Oryzias latipes: one gene and its partners. The protein of the gene in region 3 interacts with the protein of the main gene of each other region in a biochemical or structural test. Links are inferred from orthologs where the notes say so. Each region holds a gene or a part of one and is shown on either strand. Other genes may lie near its edges. The genes, in order: ptpn1, crkl, bcar1 and tyrosine-protein phosphatase non-receptor type 12.

What was found.
Region 1: the proteins of bcar1 (region 3) and ptpn1 form a complex in vitro, tested with the Homo sapiens proteins (3 studies listed by BioGRID and IntAct, with this or other methods). The link is inferred for Oryzias latipes from reciprocal best matches to the Homo sapiens genes BCAR1 and PTPN1.
Region 2: the proteins of bcar1 (region 3) and crkl interact in a test that uses a peptide from one of them, tested with the Homo sapiens proteins (2 studies listed by BioGRID, with this or other methods). The link is inferred for Oryzias latipes from reciprocal best matches to the Homo sapiens genes BCAR1 and CRKL.
Region 4: the proteins of bcar1 (region 3) and tyrosine-protein phosphatase non-receptor type 12 form a complex in vitro, tested with the Homo sapiens proteins (3 studies listed by BioGRID and IntAct, with this or other methods). The link is inferred for Oryzias latipes from reciprocal best matches to the Homo sapiens genes BCAR1 and PTPN12.

Annotation. Positions count from the first base shown.
Region 1 is NC_019865.2:21,848,182-21,853,593, reverse strand, and holds part of ptpn1 (tyrosine-protein phosphatase non-receptor type 1), read right to left. Parts: coding exon 5,297-5,412; intron 2,822-5,296; coding exon 2,612-2,821; intron 2,488-2,611; coding exon 2,326-2,487; intron 2,238-2,325; coding exon 2,077-2,237; intron 1-2,076. UniProt on the Homo sapiens protein: Tyrosine-protein phosphatase which acts as a regulator of endoplasmic reticulum unfolded protein response. Mediates dephosphorylation of EIF2AK3/PERK; inactivating the protein kinase activity of EIF2AK3/PERK.
Region 2 is NC_019870.2:17,508,196-17,513,607, reverse strand, and holds the end of crkl (crk-like protein), read right to left. Parts: intron 2,365-5,412; coding exon 2,230-2,364; 3' UTR 772-2,229; downstream 1-771. UniProt on the Homo sapiens protein: May mediate the transduction of intracellular signals.
Region 3 is NC_019864.2:4,919,160-4,924,571, reverse strand, and holds part of bcar1 (breast cancer anti-estrogen resistance protein 1), read right to left. Parts: intron 2,741-5,412; coding exon 2,042-2,740; intron 1-2,041. UniProt on the Homo sapiens protein: Docking protein which plays a central coordinating role for tyrosine kinase-based signaling related to cell adhesion. Implicated in induction of cell migration and cell branching. Involved in the BCAR3-mediated inhibition of TGFB signaling.
Region 4 is NC_019881.2:13,834,671-13,840,740, reverse strand, and holds the start of tyrosine-protein phosphatase non-receptor type 12, read right to left. Parts: upstream 3,866-6,070; 5' UTR 3,395-3,865; coding exon 3,293-3,394; intron 2,540-3,292; exon of another isoform or gene 2,471-2,539; intron 1-2,470. UniProt on the Homo sapiens protein: Dephosphorylates a range of proteins, and thereby regulates cellular signaling cascades. Dephosphorylates cellular tyrosine kinases, such as ERBB2 and PTK2B/PYK2, and thereby regulates signaling via ERBB2 and PTK2B/PYK2.

The DNA of each region.
Region 1 (5,412 bases), on a different chromosome or scaffold from region 3:
TACTCAGTCCAAGAGTGCTTCACACTTCCCTCTGCTGACCTCCTTACGGGTAAATGCGGGCTGTCTCCTGGTGAAAAATGGGCAAACCTGTACGGGGCATGCAGGTGGCCTGTACAACATTTGTGCAGCCCTCCTGCATGCCCCGTACAGGTTTGTAAAGCCTCTGTGAGCAGCCTGGCTGTTAGAAATGTGGAAATCAAACAGAGTGTTGTTTGTGTGGACGTCCGACCCACAGGCACTTGCGCGTCACCTGCTCATCCAATGCGTGCAGCATTCAGTGGTCAGTAAGGAGCCAGTGCTCGCACCTTACCAACAACGTAAGGACCCCTGTTTGGGTGCATGTGACTAAAGCTGCGTTCACACTGAACGCGATGTGCGCAGTTTTAATATTAAGTCAACGTACAGACGAGAACTTGAACTTTGGTGAAGAATTTGCTTTGCGTCAACCAATCAGCGACTCAGCTTTGGCTGTGAGGCGTTGATGATGCGATCAGCGAGTAGAGTCAAAAAACCAACATGAAGGAGAATCTGGTTGCTCTCCAAATACAAATGACCTCAAAATACTGAAACAGAGTCTGAGGTTCAAATATTCCAAAGCATGACTGTTGGATCACTGTCTTATCCTGAAAAGATCTTCATGTTTGTTTGTTTTTTTTACAAAATGCGTCACTGTTGAAGTAATAGAAGTCGCACATCAATGCATATTTGATATTGACAGTTTGAAAAAACAAAATTAACTCCTGCTTGAGCAAACTGCAAGCTACAACATGCGAAATGACGTGCAGCAAGCAGTTTGCAGCTGACGGCTGAAGGATCGGCATGCCGTCATTCTAGCAAAGATCCCTCACAGGCTCCAGCTCCTTTCAGTCACGCTGCACTGATGGGAGGTTCTGCATCACTGCTTCTTCTGCCAGAGCTGCCCTACAGTTCCACAGCTTCTACAACAACCTAATGAGGACTTTCAGGTTTGACAAGGGCGATCAGCTCTAAAACGAGATTTGTGTGGCAGGGGCCTTTCAGGGATAAGTTATTGTGCTGATGTGATAGGAAGTCCTGCGGTGCATTTTGAAGCTTTGGCAGTGACGACTTCATGATGTGAACAGCGGCTGGAGTCCAAAACCAACATGGAGGAGTGATTTCTTTTCTGCTTTTTATTTATTATTTTTGTTTCCTTACCTTAAACTAACTGCTAGTAGGAGCATTAAATGTCAATGTTTGTGTGTGTGTGGGTATGTGTGTGTGTCTGCTCGTTGTTTTGGAAATTTTAAGTTTTTCTCTGTTTTGACATATGTAAAGTTTGCTCAACTGTATCTGTCGGCATTTGCTTGTTTTGTTGTATGTTGAGGACCCCCTTGAAAACGAGATGACACATCTCAAGGGGCTTATCCTCCAAACAAATAAATTGGAAGGAGTTGATTGTTGAGCTGCTCCTGAACTTTATGTTTTTTTTTTATTTGTATCGAGACTGTAGTAAAAACATCCTCAAATTTCATTCTTATTTTAGATTTTTGCCTTCTTCGGACTGTTGTGGGACAGCAAGTCATCAAAAACAAATCCAGCTGGAAGCGGCCGTCATCCAGTGGCAGCTCCAAAATAAAGGTAAGCTCTCAACATCATCAGTGCAAGAGGACCTAGCTGCAGACATCAACTGCCAAAACCGGAACTCCTCAACCAGAAGTCTCCCCATATCGCTCGAAGAAAACTATTTTACTGGCGGCGCCAAGAGTTACCATTTTTCCTGTTTTAAGCTTTAATAAAAGTTTACTTTTTCCAACTCTAAACACTTTTGGGTTAGGGTTAGTTGTATAATTTCTGCTTCCGGATGATGATGTCAGGCACCATCTTGTCTGCAGCTTCTCCATCACTTTATCAATGGACATTAAGGGTTAAATTGAGGGGGGGGGACAAGCTCAGGTCTGTGATGACGGATGTAAGGATGTTTTGTTTTCTTCCTTTTTGAGTATCAAGCCCTCATTCAAAGTAAACCTCACTATTGAAATGCATTTCTGTTCAATAAAAAGCAGCCATGGAAGTCAACCTTTGTTCACAGAATCAGAACATGGTTGAAAATATTACCCAAGAGTGGGAATCCTCATCTCAGGGATGATCTCTACATGTTCAGGGAAAAAGGACCTCCCGGTTTTCCCGTTGTAAGGGTCCCTCGGAGGAGGAAGAGGAGGGGGAGGTGTGAACTCTGGAGGGTCGTCTTCCTCATTTGAGAGCTCTTTCCACGACTCCTTAAAAGCAAGATGCTTGAAGTTATCGACGTGCATCTGACAACAGCCTGCAAACATCTGAGCAGGGGAGAGGACGACAAGAAGTTACCTGCAGAGATACATCCCCTTTGATGTACTTGGCACCTTCTATTACAGCCAGGTAAGAAAAGCGAAGCTGATCTGCAGTTTGTATCAAGCCCATTCGATAGCGACGCATCTCGAGCAGCACGTCGCGAATACGCACAGAGGATGGGTCCTTACGAAGAGACATCTGAACAGCAAAGGCATGCAGGACGTCAGCCTCCATGTTCCACATCTTTATAGTCACGCTTCAGCTTCTTAATTCTCAAAACGTCCTGAACAATGTCAATCACAAATGAAGTTTGGGTACAAACCAACAAGAGGCAGGTGTCCACGAGACAGAAGGTCCCAGAGCGCCCAATGCCAGCGCTGCAGTGCACCACCACTGGTCCCTGGTCGGAATTCAGACAGCCGGACTCCCTCACCTTGAACAGGAAGTTTAAGAAAGAGGCGGGAGATTCTGGTACCCCAAAGTCTGGCCAGGTGGTGTAGTGAAAATGTAGAATCTCCCGCGTCTCCTGAGTCTGCGGGAGGAGGAGCAGCGGGATGTGTTAGGCAGCCGAACAAAAGCAGGGATTGTGTAACTATAGACAAATGCAACAATCAAAAGCATCAAAGCTAAAATTTAAGTTTAGATGAAAGTCACAAAAAAAACATTACATTTCTCCGTTTTATGGTCACAGTTGCATAAAAAAATACAGTGAAGATATTTTGTATTTTGTCTCACTCAGATCATCGTTTGACCTATTTTAAAAACGTTCCCAGTGGTCTTTTAATTATCAATATGCCATTTGACCCAATATCAAAAAAACATGTGTCATTTTGAGATAAGTTGAGGTGTCCCACAAAGATCAATTCTGGGCCCGCTGCAATTCAATATATACATAAAGGATATATTCAATGTTTCAAAGCTTATGAAACTCATTATTGGCTGATGACACAAACATATTCTATTCTACAGACAATCATAGGGAACATGTGGTAAACACAGAGTTAACCAAAATAAAATCATGGATGGATTACAACAAATTATCTTGGAACCTAGATAAAACCAAAGTGATGTTTTTGGTAACTACAACGCCAGTACCGAGCTCTCAGTTGAAATAAATAAATAATGCCCTAATTGAAAGTGTTACAGATGTTACAAGTTCTTAGGGCTTGTTATCGATGACAAACTAAGTTGGAAGCTGCACATCAGACACATACAAACTAAAGTCTCACAAAGTATTTCAGTTATAAGTAAATCCAAATACATTTTACAATAAAACTGAAGATATGTATTGTACTGTTTAATATTGCCATATTTCACCTACTGTATAGAAATCTGGGGAATGATTACAAGAGCTCACTACATCTTTTACTTCAAAAACGAGCCGTCATAAAGCTGGCTATCTTGATCATACAATTTATTTTATGAATCCAGACTTTGAAAACTGTATGACCTTGTGGATTTTTACAGTGCGCAACCTTTATACGAGTCAGTGGTAAATCGTTACCATTCAATATCCAAAAACAGTTTTTAGAAAATGAAGGAGGCTACAGACTGAGGGGATGTAGGAACTTCAAGATCAAATTGATAAGAATCACAAAGAAATGTTTCTCTGTGTCGGTGTGTGGCACTAAATTTTGGAACGGGTTTAGTAATGAGCTAAAAAAATATTCAAATATTCAAGAAAAGGTATAAAGAAACTCTGATTTCACGATATAAAGATAAGAAGAGTTAAGGATCAACAGGTGTTTGAATAATTCCAAATAAATGTTTGAACTTGATTGTGGTGAAATAATCAAAGCTCTTTTAATTACAATCAATGATTATTACATTGTAATGTGCAATAATGATCACTGAAATGTTTAAATTACAATCAATAAGCTATTGATTTTCTTTACTTGATCTGAATGTGTAGCAATAATTACTGGTTTAATGTGATATTGTGTTCTAATAATCAATGATTATTACATAATGTTACCGTTAACTGTTTACTAAAGTCATGAATACCGGTAAATGTTTTCTGAAGATAAATCATTAATAGGCACAGGATCTTTTTACTCAAAAAGAATGTATCGAATCAGAACCAAATTACCAAAACTATGTAAAACTATCAAATGAATTAACTCAGCAGGGGTGGGATTATATAAATTTGCTTCTTCCCGCTCCCTTTCAAGCAATAAATCAAGCTCTACGTGACTTTAGTTAATGATCACTGTATTTAATTAAGCAAATGTGATTTATGTGACTTTTTGTTTTATTTTCTGTCTTATTAATCTATGCATTTCAACATTTCTGTCATGAGTTTGATAAGATGTGTAAATTCTTTATTGCTTTGACTACAATGCTTGAAATAAATCAATAAATTGAATCAAATTTTCTAGAACATAGTTTTTGCAGAGCACGGAGCAATCCCTTCCCTAAATCCTGTAACCTATCGGTTTACACTCTCCAACTAGCTTACAGCCCCTCACAACCCCAACCTAACATTACCGGTGCAACAAAAATGGCGAGGAATATCTGGGCTATCCAGCCGTAGAGTTTTGATCCAGATGCCAGCTGAGACGAGGAAAACAAAGACGTACATGCATCCATTTGTCTGAAGTGGATGCACCAGAATGCAGCGGAGCAGGAAGCTTTTGTTTTCTACGTAACAAATGCCGGTAAATGCCACAAGCACATGTTCAAAAAAAACAAACAGCAGAAGCACAATTTTCATCGGAGTGGGTCTTTAAACTGTGATTGACATGCAGTTCTTGTAAACTTATCAATCTCCTTTATTACATCTTAACTCCCAAATGACAATAATATAGAAAGCTAGCACAAACTTTCCTTTAGGGAGCAATAACGATAGTTCACAATAACATTTTTATCGGGAAATTCACTGAAAATTACAGAGGTTTAACCAAAAATCCTATTTTTAAGAGAGAAAATGGTTTTTTTTGCAGTCAATATAAGTTGTGCAACCATATGTGTTTTATGAATGGGCAATAAACCGAGGCAGAAAACTTACCGACAGGTTTTCTAACTCCAGCTGACGGATTGTGTAATAAGACTTGACGTCCTCTGAGACAAGCGTCAGCTTGAAGTTGGTGTCTTCAAAGATCGCATCTTTCTCCTCTTTGTAGG
Region 2 (5,412 bases), on a different chromosome or scaffold from region 3:
AGGAATACATCGATTAGCTAGAAGGACAATTTAACCCAGGATGTATGGATTATTGGCCTCACTCAGCCTCATCACATAAACGCAGGCCAAGTCAAATGAAATCCCACCTACTTGTATTCAGATTCCATCACCTGTTCCCTCCTTTTTTTTCCATCCCAAAGTTGTTTACGTGGCCGTCTTCGGTCCAGGTCGACCCCTTTTCCTTTGACCTGGTTCTGGCTAAAGCTGGTGAGGGAATGCTAATCTACAATACTGATACATGAGGGGAGGAGCGGAGCGTGAAACTGTTTATTGGATTGTTTGCAGACTGCCGGCATTTGATGATGTTTTTGAATTGGTCCTTTAGGTCTCAAATAATGACACCAAGATGAGAAACTTTGTGTTCTGGTTGCCAGGAATAGCAGAAAAGTTCCTAAAAATGTGTCACAACAAATCAATGTTCCTGTAGAAAGGCAGTCATAACAGAGGGAGGAGGAAGGAATCACTTTAATTTATACATAGTTTTAAATAGTCCAAGAGGAATAGAATTAGCTGAAAAGTGCTGAACACACGGAAACTGCCCTTCAAAAGTTTTTCTGTTCCGCATCTCTTCGGGGTCAGCTGACGTTCTTTTCTTAGCACTTCATTAAAATGCATTAATTGCTTCCCTTCTCCTGGGCGCAGCAGACTCCAGAAGTGGAGCTGTCGGAAAACAGAGGGGCCGCCCCGCGGCGCGCTCCACAAACGGGCCCCGCCCCCTCCTCCTGCCCCGCGGACAGACGAGGAACGCGGTTTAAAGAAGTAGACGTAAATTTTATTTACTTGCTCTGTACATACAGGGTCAATACCGGCAGAGGTAAGAACCATGGGAAATATTAACACATGTTACATAGTGTAAGAAATTAAAAAGGCACAATTTTCAATTCTGAAGTACAAGACAGGTTTTCCTAAAATAGAAGAACAGTAATACTGTTAATGCCAATACAAAACAAAACAAAAAATCAGAAGCAAGACCAGAAATATGGAAATAAAAATAAAAACTAAGTTGTATTGCTTAATTAGAATTCATTAAATCCTGACAAACAGAACCCAGCTAGGATGAAAAAAAAAAGATAAATCTTTTATTTAATGAAGAGATAAATTTTAAAAAGCAGCATTTGACCAACTCCCCGGCCAAGAGGTCATGCACAGAGGCAACCAGCAGGCATTTGGAATTCCCTTTATTTGATTTTTTTAATGTCCTTTTTGATTTTTAACAATAGTCATTTTGAAATAATCCACTTAAAAGCAGGACAAAAAAAAAACACATGAAACAGAAAAGAAAAACAACTTAAGCTGCACAACTTGAGTGAACGGCTAAGGAGGAGGAGGAGGAAGGGGGCATTATGGCAGAATTAGGAGTTTTCATGGTTTTTTGGACGTAAATAAAACCGGACCAAATGTTTAAAGAGGTTAACACTTAAAGTCAAGATGAAACGCTAAACCATATCTTTTGTTTCGATAGTAGTCAGATGTTTTTGGCAAATACATTGCTATTTGAAATCTTATTCAAATTGGCACTCCTATGCGGCGTGTTCAAAGTCTTTTAGAGCTGAAAGCCGTTAGCACGAAGAACTTTATAACCTTTAAGCTTTATCGGTAAAGAAGAAGGAAAAAAAGAAAGAAAAATCATCAGACGCCATCGGTACCGACAGAATTCAGAGTCCGCCCTCCAACAGACGAAGAGGAAGAGGTTGATCTTATGGCACCGATCAGATGAACCGCCACCCCGGCCGTGCCACGCCCCATCAGGAAGGTGGAGGCAGAAACCATTGGAAGAATCCGACCAATGATGTGTGCGTGTCTGCGGATGGCTCCGCTTCAACGGCGACTAGAAGGATTGGAGAAATAATGGCTGGCTTGTTCCTCATCGATTTTGTTTCCTACCAAATCCAGATTATTTTCCATATCTTGATTTTTCAAAAGCATGGTCTAAATTGTTAAAAACTACACATGGACGTTTCCATACAACTTTCAGTCTGATGCACTGTCATGTGGAAATAAAAAGAGACTGATGAAGAGGAGGAGATAAACTGCCCAGCCTGGAACTAAAACCTGAAAACGGGAGCTGAGGAAGGAGGGTCACATTTGAGACCACAGCTGTAAACTCTTTAAAAGCCCGGTGACAGCTGGCTAACCCCCCGCCCCACATCAAGCAGACAAGCTCGTTACTGTGACGCTGGCGGGACAGGTGGGGCATCCAGGGTCGCGTCAGTCCCCCTCGTCCGGGTTCAGCGGGTCTACGATTTTGACATGAGTGAAGGGAAAGTGCCCCCTGCGTCCGTTCACCTCGCCCTCCCACTGACCGCTGATGTTCATCCGTAGAACTTTGACCATGTCGCCGACCTGTGAGGAGAGAGAAGCAACCAATGACTACGCTGCAAGACCTCCACGTCCACCTCAGTTGGGCTTGATCACATGACATAAGTACAAAAGAAGCGCTTTAAAAGTGTTATCAGCCGATATCCCAAAAGACAGCATAACCAGCAAGAAATTGTTACTTTAAATGTTTACATACATGCAAGACAATCTCATGGCAGCTTGAAGTTTCTAACAAATCAAATAAATCCCATTTGACCAATCGGATGAACCCGCACGGCGTTGATCTTTAGACATATTCCTTTAAACCGGGGGGGGGGGTCCAAACTCATTTTCACCGAGGGCCACGTCAGCAGAGTGGCTGTCCTCAAAGGGCCAGATATGACTTATACATGTAACTAAATGTAATGTAACTTAATGTCAAATGACTCATTTGTTTATTATAACTTTTTAAAGTGACAATTACAGTTGCATAGAAAACATGTTTGCTTGTTACTCTAACATAAATCCTTTTACATTTGATTCTGTCAGGTTAGGTTATATGGACAGTGTTTAAGCCTTAATGTATAGTTACCCAATCTGATATTTCAAGTTCAATTCCCCCTAGATATGAATAAATGCACTCCAATTTCTATTTATTATTCTACGAAATTAAAAACTTTTATGCTCTCGCGGGCCACATAAAATGACATGGAGGGCCACATTTGGCCCCCAGGCCTTGAGTTTGACACATGTGCTTTAGTTTTGGGTGTGACGGTAACCGTATCACCGCGGTGATGAGATGATCGCTGCGTTGATGACTCATCACTGCACGTTCCTCTTTTTTAAATTCTTTTTTGAAAGTTCTGCATATGGTGCGTGATTTGAACTATGATAAACACATTCACACATTCATCTTTGCTAATTATTAACTTTTTCTGCGAGTTCTGTGTTCAAACTTCAAGGTCTTCTGGGGGAATTTCCATTGTATTCATTTCCATTACAACTTGCATTCTTGAGTGTGCGACGCGGCCGCCCGCCAGAGGATTTTGTGTTTTTTGGGGGGGCAAGAGTCCCAACACCATGACTCGTGCTGCTCATCACCGCGGTGATCAAAAATCCCAAACCGTCACAGCTCTAGCTTTAGGGGGTGGCCACAGCCAATCAGTTTTCTCTACTTAGCACAGGTGGTTTGTCAAAGAGTTTGCCCTTCCAGACACAACCCTGTATTTTATCTGGGCTGGGGACAGGCACAGGGAGACCGTTGACCAATCGAATGGAGCTTTATTGTGTTCATTTTTCTCACAACATGCAGCCCTGGTGACAACATTAAAGGGAAACTGAAAGTTTGAACACATCCCCTCTTTAGCTTTAGCATCATTTAGCTACACCCGGTCCCACAGTCCAAATTATGAACATAGGAGCATAGAAATAAAAGGACAGGTTAACAACAAAGACATAAAGCTGGAATAAGAAGAATGAAACTAAAGCTTTAGCCTGAAAAACTGTCAAGCTACGCTCACACTGCCCTCTGCAACAAACATTCAAGTGGCCTCATCCAATGAAAAGTCAATGGAAATGTGCGTAAATCCACATCTGGGCTTCCGTGAGCAAAAATCACGCATAGCTACGCAATATTTTTGAGACCGCTTTCAGGCTCCACATACGTGCGGGCGGCCATTGAAGGTAAAACAACGTCGAACTTCGGCCAATCAGGGATTCGGATTTGGCAGTGACGTATTGGATGGCGTCCCGTTTAAGTCAAGGAAGTGCCAAACTGTTCATGCCCAACAAACCTCTTCCAACTTTAGGTTGCGGATAAGTGCTAGTAAACAGTTGAAAAAGTAGCCCCTCCCTGCTTGTCAAGTGTGAATGCCGTGGGTTAAAAGCATGTCACATGTCCGTGGCATCAAACGACAAAAACCAAACAAAAAAATCCATCCAATCATCTTACTTCAAAGAAACGAAGTTCAGTTCTACATGCTTTGTGCAGTTTCCCCTAACGTGAGCAACAAGACAATAATGACACAAAAAAAAATGTTATTAGGCTGCGAGCTATGACTTCTTCCCAAAACAGAGGCTGATGGGAGGAAAGACATGATGCAACAGAATAAGGTATGTGCTGTCAGAACTAAACAAGTAGGAGATAAATGAGTCAAACTGAAAGGAAAACACAGAAAAGCTTCATGTTCGGATTCTCGTTAGCTGCTGTGCAGCTTAAGGCAAAAATAACAGAGGCTGGAGAGTTTGTATACAGCAGAGTGAATAAAAGGGGTTGGGTCAGCACATGTGACCCACTTCCAAAGAGATGGCGACAGATTTAAGGTATATTCTACACACACAAGTTTCATGTGTTAACCATCTGAGGAAAAAATAGTCAAAACGGCAACATTTAAAAACATCAGTGGAGATTTAGTTTCATTACTATTCTATTTTGCATTGTCATTTCAATAAAGTTCCTTAGAAAAATCTAAATGTAAAGCAGCCTAGTTTTTTGAAACACTATCTTTTTGTTGTTGTTGCTAAAACCCAAACTGATAAAACTCACAACTGTAGCTAATAAACTTAACCCAAACCTTTAGCTCATAATTAATTGCCTTCATTAAGACACAGGACTTAAAAACTTCATTCAAGATCATGTATTACCAATGCTGATAAAATAGACAAGCCAGGGGGTGACGAAAACATCCCCTCCCCCAACAAGGTAAGAAAATAGGGCAAAAATGTCACAGTTGGGGCAAAGGAAGCCCCAGTTTACAGTAGAAAAAAAAATGTACAAGTTTACACTTTATTCATTTCAAATTTTTTTTTTTTTTTTAAATAGTGTAATCTAGGAATGGAATACTTTGTTGCTCCTGAAAAAAAAGCTTCCTTGATGGAGATAGAAATTGACGCAAACTGTTGATTTCCTTCCACACTCATTTCCAGCTTCCTTCTGGGAGCTCTCACACACTCGCTGCCCTGTTTGGTTCCCCGTCTTCATGTGTTTTTCATCAACTGACCTAACATTGGTGCCGACTGTGTTGCTGCCTCTATTTTGCATTTGTCTATTTATAAGAGCTGACACCAATACACAAGCTGCCACCACTGGTTCAA
Region 3 (5,412 bases):
CTACAGTGGGAATGAAAGGAACTGCAGCTCTGCTAAGATCTGTCCACATTTAGATGGAGTCATACACATGATGTACTGCTTTATGCTGGATCATGACTGAAATCTGATAGGAAAAGAGAACAAGGCTAAAACTTTTTTGAAAGGAACTCAACAAAGTTAAAAAAGTATATCAAATGTCTGACACAGAATGTCTTCAGGAGCTGCTGAATGGTAAATCTGAGGCAGTTTTCGGGTTACCATTAGTCCATTACTGCAACTTGTTTACATGATCAAATCCTTTCTGAAATGTTTTAAACGTGTTTGTGCATTTTCGCAAGCTGACACACAACAGTTGCACTGTTGTAATTGATGTTTTGAGCGTGGGAGTTAGCAGAAACCAACATGATCATTATCTGACAGAAGAAAAGCAGAGACTGGCAGCAGAGAGTCTTTGGCAGATCATTCCCTGCAGGTATGGAGCCGTCTAAATGAAAAGACGACTAGTGAAGACAGAGTGGCTGCAGATACTGCAGAGGAGCTTAGTTTACAGTTGGGTGCCTGACGACACATTTCTCCAGTCCGTTCCAGTTTGCTATCAAAAATAGGGATTGTAGCTGGTACTCAGCATGCTGAGTGTGCATCTTTTCTGAAAAACAAAATACGATCTGAACCGCAAGCTTCTGTGCAAAAAGAAATGAGCCTGCAGCTTTCTTTAGAGAGGTGCAGGACACAACACACACACCTGCAGCTAAGCTGCTTCTTTTCATTCTGTTTTTTTCTATTAGCTTTTGGAAAACAGGAAGACTCACCAAGATGATTCCTCGTGGTTTGGTTTGCCAAACTTGTGCTATCCTAGGCACTTTAACATTGGGAGTTGGGTCATCTAGACCCACTAGACAGTGCTCTGAACCTTTTTTCTTCAATGATTTGTGATCGTTACTGGTGTCCATGGATTACATGAAATCTTTCCACCTTTATCCACCTTTGTCATGGTAGGAATAACACATTAATGTAAGGGTGGGGTCATAGGATAGCACAAGCTTAACAAACTGCAAAGACCCACAACAAAATATTTTATTCACCACAAACACACGAACACACACACATTTTAACACACATGAGCAACCATGGACACACAACCCATCTCCAGCTGGCATGGTGACATGCACACATCCATCCAACCCTGACATTGCAACTGAATTATTAACAATCCTAGGATTCTCCAGCAGGCTGCGGTTTACCCCCCCCCCCCCCCCCCCCGCACGCTTGCAGACTTAACCTCACCTCCACGCACATAATGACACCAGTGTTTGTCCCCTTCCCCCTGAACTTCCAGAAACCGTGTGGAACGACCAATGGTCCTCGACCTGCAGAATCTCAGAAAAACCTGCAGCTAGCTCTGCATCTTTATGTGATGGGATTAAAACCAAAGAGGGATGTTGACTGTTGGAGCCTGTGGACATGTTTATAGCACTGGCAAATATGAAGCTTTCTGACTGAAAGTCTGTCCGATCTGCTTCAACATTTCAGTCACGTGGAGCTTTTTTGTCTTTTTGACACACAAGACAATGTCTTGTGACAGTTTTCAGTTTTACGTGATGACGTGCACGCTGTCATGAAGGGATAAACAGCTGTCCAAGACGGCAGCTCACGCTGGTTTTCTCCCGCAGAATGGAAAACGCAGGTCAGTTTTGTATTCTGGGGCATACAACACAGTTCTTTCTATGTGACTTTTACTCCCAGTCATGGACTGCCTGTACAATCCAGTTGAGATAATGCAGGCCCATTGTAATGACCTGTACCTAATAAGAGACATTTTTTTTGTTTAACAAGAACTACCAGTTTTTGCTCTGCAGAAAGAAACACACAAACCAACAATGTCCGGAAGTGTGCATGCCTGCCTGAAAAACACCCAGAAGCCGAGTTGGGAACAGCGTTATCAAACGTTTGGCTCTAAAGTGCCACCTCTCTGTTTTCCTTTGAGCTCTTTCATGGAAATAAAACTTCAGCTCAAACTTTCCACCTCATTTCCTGATTTCCTTCCTTCTCTACTTTTTCTTACCTTGCCAATGGGTTTGTTGCTGCCGTCCCAGTTTCTTTTCTCCAAGGAGGGGGGTACTTGGTACACATCCTGTCCACCTGCAGGTGGAGCAGTTCCTTGGCCTGGCCCTGGGCCAACAGATGGGGGAACCTGGTAGATATCCTGTCCAGGCGCCTGAAACTGCCTGTGGCCTACAGGCGTTGTCTTACTGGGGGGTCCTGGTTGGGCCTGGGGAGAGGGTCCGCTTGGACCAGAAGGAACCTGATACACACCTTGGGAGCTTGGCTTTGGACCATGAGAGGGAGGCATCATGTAAACAGAGTCAGGGCTGGACTGTGCAGGACTGGGAGTGGAGTAGGCTGGGTGCATGGATGTGTACTGGACCGTTGGAATGGACTTGGTTGCAAACCCCACAGATGCCGCAGGTGGTTTAAGAGATGGTTTGGGATAGGCGCTCTTAGTGGGAAAAGGTCGCAGTACCTGAGAGGTGGGATCTGGAGTGGAAGGAGAGGCCTGCTGCTGCTTATTGTCATACATGCCAACAAGGATCTTGAGGCGATTTCCAGGGACGATGCCTTGGCGTCCATGGAGAGAGCAGAGCCACCAACCATCCAGCCCCTGAGTGTCTCGCTCCAGCACTGTCATGATGTCGCCTTTGCGGAAGGACAGCTCGTCCGGAGACTCGGCCACATTGTCGTACAAGGCCTTGGCCAAAACGTTCTGTGAGAGAAAGACAAACAGACTCTTCTTTAGTGCTTAACCAACAAGTCACCTGCCCACAGCTTACCATCAAACAATGGCTTTGAATGATCTAACCAAAGTTCACTTCAAAAGGCTGGTCAAAGGACTGCAGTTGGTAAAAAGAAACCCATTATGATTAACAACAAAAAATGGATAGCAACAACTAACATGCTTTACACCACAGTGACACACACACTCATGCATTCACACAAAGCCATCTTTTCATGGACACACACAGCATGTACCGGCGACTCTACACAGCCAATGGGGTTTAGTGTCTTTAGTGTCAGGAAGAATGAATGCGATTTAAAACCACACGGGTTTAAAGACGGATCACTACGCATCGTAGGCTCTGAACTGCTCCAACAACAGACTCAGGAAGCCCCCCCAAAGACTCATCAGATTTTTATATATTTGAGTGGAAAAGGAGAAACACTGTGAGAAGACTGGTGCCTTTTTTGGTCCAGTTGTCCTGTCTTCAGTCATGCTTTGAGCTCATTTGTCATTTGTTTTCCTCCAGGTTTAAACTTAATTGTGTGCAGCTCCATCAGTTCAGTTAATTCCCCTCAATATTTAAATCCACGGTTTCAGTTGTAACCTGACAGATCCATTTGTCTCTGCTGGTTTTTCTACAACATGCTAAAGTTTGAAGCAGTTTACTTCATGTTCTATTATTCTGTATAAATTCACGTTTATTTCCTTCATGGTCACCATCCCTCACGGAAGGACAGATCTGATCTTTTTCTTCATTTTTGATTTATTTTGATTTCTTTATCGGCTGTGTGGCCTTTGATCGTTAACTGTTGCTGTGTTCTAACATAATTATTGCATTGCATAGAAGCAGTAGTGAAACACTTTTATAAAAACACAGTGTTGGAATTAAAGACTGTCTGACATCCTTTGGTCCACTATGACTGATGAAGACTCCAAACTTACTCTGAAGGGCCTCAGCACATACTGGCTTCACAGAGTGTCACAGACGCACACAGCTGCCATAGGCGGCGTGTCACTTCACCACATTATGAATCATTTTTCAAATCAGCCTCATCCCGAGTGGATAAGCAAGCAGCCAATGAGAGGACAGAGTACAAGGACACGGATCTGCTGCAAGTGTTTGATCAGGCCGAGCAGGTTAATAATTCCACTAGCACCTATTCATGTTTTATCAGAAGCCTCAGCTGGATTTCTCCACATCTTAGAACTTTGATTTCCACACATGATGGAAGACTGAGCACACGCTGAACCATACTGAGGCTTCCTCTTCTTTACAGTGGATTCATGTCCACACAGGAGAGCAAACAGAGACACCTCCAGCTTCTTTGAAAGGGAGCTAATATTTGCAGTTCACGTCTGACCTCGGCCCTCCCTCTCTGTGTCAGAGTCCCACCCCACTTATCAGCGACTGGTACAGGCTGTACTGGCCGCCAGCCAGCTCCTCTCACAGACACCCGTTGCATAAAACGCTGCGCCGCAAAGGAGGCCAAGGAGCAGGCCTCCAAATGTGTGGCTGAAAGCTCCTAATGCCTGTTCAGGACTTTAGTGGTGAATGGGAGAAAAGACAAACAGCCACAGCGGGACTCTGACCCTCAAACTAACAAGGTGGTTGCAGAGTTCTTGAGAAGGAATGTTTTTCAAATTAGACAGACTAAACCAGAGGGCTAGCTTTCTACAAACAGCGTCTGAGCGAGCTTGTGCCAAAGTCCTCCTCTTCACTTCAAAAAACAGGAAGTGCAGTGAGGATGATTCACTGGCTGAGCTCACGCGGCATGACGCTTCGGTCCTGGAATCACCTGGAAGGATTTGCCCTCTGTGTGTGTGCCCACATCTGAATTCCACTTTTGTTGAATCATGCTGGACCCTCCTTTAAGACCAAGTTTAGAAATGTTCTAAGCTTCTACCAAAGGAGGCCTGCTTTGCTAGAATTGTTTGGAAAGGTACCCTGCATAAAGAGGACTTCCCTTCACATTTAAAGTTGTGTCTGTAGCTTTCATTGCAGTTAATGTTATAGGTAAGGTTTACATAAAAAATCAAAACATTGGAGCATTAGAAGATCTGTTGAGAATCTGAACCTGCAGGAAATAACTCTGACCTTTCCATGTTCTCATGTGCTCACAGCATGGTTTTGTTCTGGTCACTTCTTAACATTCTGAGATGATCAATGATTATTGACCCCATCAGCATCTTTAACCCTTATGCTATCCTAGGCACTTTAACATTGGGAGTTGGGTCATCTAGACCAGTGTTTTTTAACCAGTGTGCCGCGGCACACTAGTGTGCCGTGGGAGATGGTCAAGTGTGCCATGGGAAATTGCCCTCATTAACTGAAAAATTAAACATTTCCCATCTCCAGGATTTCAGCTCTGTGTTCATCCAAACAGGCCCTGATAAAACACTGAGGAGTTAGGAATATAAAAGATCGTAAAATACTTTTTCTTTGCGTTTATTTTATTTTATTAAAGACATTTTGATAAGAATGACGTACCGCGATTCAGCTGCAGCTCCGGCTGTATTTTGGAAAAGTCCCGCCCCTTTAACTGTCTCCACCAATCATTCTTGGGGAGCTTAATCACATGTCATCAGTCTGACCAATCAGAAGTGCTTAAAGTCTTCACTTCCTTGTCCCGATTTAGCTCGTAAAGTCGCTCAGTTCT
Region 4 (6,070 bases), on a different chromosome or scaffold from region 3:
CCATTTTCTATGGGTGATATCACAATTCTAGGTCCAGTTCTTTACATAGAGTCTGTCACATTATAACATTTAAAGTCTCAAAACAATCCAACTAAACATTTTCTTTAACTTTTTCTAGCTTAATCTGCTGCCAAACCTCATAAGTACATTGACCTTTAAAATCTGCTAAGTCTCAAGCAACTATCCTTGTACGACATTATTTTATCATAAATGTTGCTGATGGTACAGCTAAAGACCTCAATATATTTTCAAATACAACGCATACAAATTGACCAACTTAACAAAATAACATGGAGCCTTCAATTACAACAATCAGTAAAATTTAACTTGCTTGAAAACAACCAACACAGATCACAGACCTAGAAACGTTCAGTTACAAATGCAGAGAATTTGGTCTTTTGTGGCACATACAACATTTGCTTCTTTTAAACATCTAAAAACATTAAATGGCTTTGGAGTTTTTATTAATTTGTTTTCCCTAAATTAAAATGTATGAATGTATATTTTTTATTTGCTTATATTTTTTATATTTGGCTTTGAAGTAAATTTTTCTTTTTAATTTTTGTTTATACCATGACGTCTTAATCTACTTTACTGTCACCTGGTGACTAATATAGCTTTATCAGCTCTATTTTTGCCCTTTTTCCTCCATCAAGAAACAATAACCAACATCTTTGTCTCAACGTGTATCCATGAACGTGCCATCAGTGCAAAACTGTCCATGTTTATTAACACATGCACTAATAGCTGGGTGGAAAAGTTGCAGCTTGACTGGACCAGCTGATAAGCTCTCTTGTGAAACAAGTATGATTTTCAAGGTTTGGTTTTGCAGAAGCAGCATCCATCCAGATGTAGCAATTTTGCGGGAGCTGTGTCATGGGAGAGACTTACCGATACACAAACTGCTTTTTACACAATTAAAAGTTTCTGAAATAAACCACAACATTTTAAAGTTGGTTTAAAAATGTTTCCATGGAATTAAAACTTGAATTATGTTAACTTCAACCTTAATTTTGTGGGTGAATTCACAGACTAAATTTGTTTTTTGGAGTTTTCTTCTTATCTCTAATACAAAATAGAAGAAATTCACTAAAAGTATAACAATGATCTAAAATTTAACAATTAAAAAAAAAAAAAATCCTGTTTCCTCTGTCCTCACCCTTAGGTATTTTCTATGTAATTTATTTCTTTCCGAACACCACAGAAATAGAAACCTCCCTGCAAAAAGACAACTCCAGCAATTAAATGGGTTATACGGTCGCATATAGGAACAGACTTGACAAGACAATAACTTAACTCCACAGGACACTTCTTAGATTTCAACACTGGATTATAAAAAAACATCTAAAGCAATTCTGCTCCATCAAATTGCTTAAAACGGCTGCTGAACAAAGTGTATAATCTTGACTCTTTGCCCTAACGCAACCTGCAATTATGTCTATATAACACGTTCTATATATAAACAACAATAGGCGGTTAGAGTACAGTTATGTCAGGGCGCTCTGGTGAGGCACTGTTCAGAAAAGCCCACCCTATATACATGAAAACGTTTAGGCTTCACCAATTGGTAAAGAATGGATCCTCACATGCTTCATGTGTTAGCTTCCAAAGCAGTGAAACAGGCAGTAACAATATGGAAGTTGTGAGGCAGCATGAGGATAAGCATGAAATGTGTGTCACAGTAGAAGTTTATTACTGTACATATTTTACAACCAAAATACACTAAAAGTCTCTGCAAGGTGGAAGAACAAAATTAAAAACATAATCAAATTATAGCTCTTTTTTTTTAAAACACTTTCTTCCATAACTTCCTGAATGTCTTGCACAGACAGTTCAGTCTGCTTTGCGCAACACCTATCAGCCCCTTGTTTACAGAATCCTCAAAGCACAGACCAACTAATGAACGCAACAGCAACAAAACAAGACTAAGATAGCATTTTTATATTTTTTAATTTTTTATTTATTTAATTATGGTTCTGTCTTCCTTAAAGCAGTGATTCAAAGTGTGAGATTTGTTGACAAAGCTCCACTTTTAAAGCCAGGACAAAATGTTTTGTAATAGGCCAAGAAAGAATGTTGCAAGCTACAGCAAGCTGCTTGCATGAAGCATGGAAGTAAGGTGTGTGCGTGTGTGTGTGCGTTTCTGCAAGTGTAGACAGAGGGGGCAAAAGTTAGCTGATGCTGATTAACCTCTTTCTTGGAGACAACAAACTCAATATTTAAACAAAACGTAAAAGAGTAACAGCATCTTCTATCTATAGTTGGAACAATGCAATGACGGATATATTGAAATAATTGGTCATAGAAGAGTTTCTCGACTTATTTTAGCCTAAACTTTGCCCTAAAAGGTCCACCTCATGCTAAATGTTATTACAGAAAGTCATTTCACAAGTCAGGGAGTGGAAGAAGCTTCATTTAGATTCCAAAATTTCGACATCCCTCTTTTTTTTCTTTTTTTTCTTTTATATACCAAGAACATTCTTTGAACTACCGATTTGCAGCCATCAAAAAGCTAAACTCCAACCAGCTTTCTAATTTGGTAAACAAACCTTCATTTATAATATTTTCAAGTATGTTAAATAGATATAAGCAAAAAACCAAGCAGGTCAATACATTTTGTAAGTTTACAGAGTCATTTTGTTTTATAATGATCTTTAATGCTGCTTTAAGTATTTCTGATGACATTTTTAAGTTGTAATATTTAGACTTTTCTATTTTTTATAGCAAACTGTGACCCTAAAAAATGCATAGCTGATATGCTAGTAGCAATTTCTTGTCACTGCATTCAATGGTTATAGTTGTGGACCACATCTATAACGTACAAGAGAGGACAATGAAGCACTAGTGCACTGTCTGCCAACAATCAGGCATGATTAACAGCGGAGGAAGCGACTATCTGCTCCAGCCCACAATAAGCCGCCTTAGCGCCACCAAAACACAAGCAAGGGGGCTTTGAACCGACGCGTTGAGCTAATTCCCCCTATTCCAATTCTTAAAGAACAGAAGTCGGCGGTGTGTCTGTGCGTCGGGACACAATGCTAGGCCGCCATATAAAGCCTGGAAATGAGAGGAAAAGGAAGAGGGCAGGCAGTGTGGCCGCCCCTACCTCACCTCCTCCTGGGGGGATGCAGGAACCAAGAAACGGGAAGGGTGATGGTATGGAGGGAGAGTCGGCGAAAAGGGGGAAAAGGTGGAGACTAAGTATAAACATGGGGACGACTTCCAATTAGATTAAAAAAAAACAAAGAGAGGGAGAGAGAAGGATAGGTTAGAGTCCAGCAGATTTACTCACCATAAAGTCACTACCAAAGTTGTCCTCTCCCCTCTCCTTGTCCCCTTCACTCATGGCCTTCACCCCTTGGATAAACTTTCTCAGGATGCCGGCTTGCTCCATCCTTCAATCCTCTTGTAGCGTTTTCAAAAATCCCCAAACTAGCAAGGGGGGTAGATATGTTTTTTTTGTATGTAAAGAGAACAAATGAGGGGGGAAAGGGGGAATAAATAAAAATAAATAAGCTTCACGGGTCTTCCCACGGAGTCATCGTCGGTCAACACATTTTCGTATTATCGCCCCATGTTGTTTCCTCCTTTCCTTCTTTCTTCTTGACTGTTTTTACGACAGCCGTTAGTCCCAAAAATAAAGCCGTCGCCGGCTTTCCTGCTGTCCAAACACCGCCGTGGCGTGATTTAAAAAAGAAAACACTATGTTAAGACATGAAAAAAATATGTATATATATATTGGAGAGAGGGCAAGGGGGGGCAATTGACCGGTGTGGTCATAAAATCTACCCCTCCCTGCCTACCTCGATTGCCACATTCACACAGTGCTGCTCGTTAGTCCGCTACTGGGGAACATCCGGACTGGGCAAAGCCAACAAGATGTAGACCCTCCCCTTTCACGAAAAAGGAGGGATCCGATTGGTCACAAGGTAATTTAGAACTGGAATGTCATTGGTTAAACTGGGTGTAGTCACACCAAATACCCAGCTGTGATTGGACATCCCATGTGTCGGTCATTTTAATTCCCATAGCAGAGTCATCGTGAGAATATCATGGATCAGATGTTCAAACGAAATGGATAGAAAAATAAAAAAACACACAATTTATAGCGATGATCAGTTTTTCAAGAAGTAATAAGTGATGAGGATAATATTGAGGACCAGAGTAAAGAAGAAAAACAGTCAGAATGACGGATCCAAACAATAATCTGGATTAGAGGCTGCCGAAAATGGAAACAGACGATGTTTCACATCAACAAGATCCCTCTCTGATTTAAAAGAAAATACAACAAAAAAACGTTAAAAAAAAAACATTGTTCTAACTTTACTTGAAAAAAACAGCAGGATAATAATAATAATATAATATACTATCAAAGCATTCTGTATTTAAGCACATATTTTCTTTTTACCATTGGGACACTCAAATTTTGATTTAGTCTGTGATAGCCTATGCCTAAAAAAAAGAACTGATCACTTTATGGAAAGAGTCAGAGGACAGGATATGAAAAGATACTCACTCCTGATGAATTCTCCTTTGCCAGTCACACAAATGAAGAAGGAGAATTGACTTGCTTTGTTTCCTCTAGTTCTACCAAAAAGACGAGGGTTGAGTAAAAGAGAAGGACATTGTCCCAGAGCCACGAGCATTTTAAATTACAAAAGCTGCTTGTTTTTGCTCTTGCCTTTAAACCATATTATTTTTTTCCATCTCTAGTCTTTTTCCATGCTTCTTTTTATTTTGCTCTATTCTTATCATGTGTGTAAACTGTCAAAAGTCAATCTATTCAACTGTTTTTGAATGGGTTTGATTTCATTTTTTGTACAAATTAAATCCAAGACAAAAATATATTAGATATGTTAATTTGTATACTGTTAGTATGAAAGCAAACTGATTCACTACAAAAAACTGTTCCCTTTTGAAAGAAAAACACAGTAAATTTGAATTTCAGTTGAAAATCTACCCTTTACTTTTTAGGGGGAAAACGTTGGATCATATTAAAATGATCTCCCATGCGAAACACATGACTTTATCATTTTATGAACTGAGAACCTATTCTGTAAAAGTTGAATCCCCCATTCATCTAACAAAGAACATACTTTGCTTCAGGGTAGAATGGCCCATTAAGTTGTGGCAAATGAGTGTATAAGGCAGACAAAGAAATATGCATACTTTTCCAGAAACGCTTACAATAAGTGTTATTCTATAATTCTAGTAAAATAAAAATATAACATATGTTTTGCACATTTGAATGCATATCATTGAAAGGAGTTGTGGCATGAAACATGTTATTCTTTTTTTTTACAAATCTTTATTTTCTCTTTAAGCTGAGTACTATTCAAGTTATTCATTATTACATATGAAAACAAACAGTTTGCCAAACAGAAACTTTATGTAACCCTTGTGGTATCCTAGGCACTTTAGCATTGGGAGTTGGGTCATCTAGACCCACTAGACAGTGCGCTGAACCTTTTTTCTTCAATGATTTGTGATCTTCACTGGTGTCCATGGATTACATGAAATCTTTCCACCTTTATCCACCTTTGTCATGGTAGGAAGAACACGTAAATGTAAGGGTGCGGTCATCTAAGATAGCACAACGGTTAAAACACAATATGTAACCCTTGTGCTATCCTAGGCACTTTAACATTGGGAGTTGGGTCATCTAGACCCCGCAAGACAGTGCGCTGAACTTTTTTCTTCAATGATTCGTGATCTTCACTGGTTTCCATGGCTTACATGATCCTAGGATAGCACAAGGGTTAAGTAAAAATGTCTGTGTTTGAGCCCAAATCCTCTAATTTATCAGATCACAGTTATAAAACAGGTAGTAAGATATATTGCATAATCTGTGAGTTCTCCAGGACTTTGATGGGGAAAACTGCTCCTTCTAACCGTTAAATGACCCCATACCAATGTTTTCCCATCCACTCTACATGTGCACTTGTAACCAATCTAGAAACTGTACGCAGAATATTATTTTAAGTAAACCTAACATCCATCTCTCTGTCATTTCCTCTTCTCAGCACTGGTTCTAGTTACCCTGCACTCCTTCTGACCCTGACCTCTGACC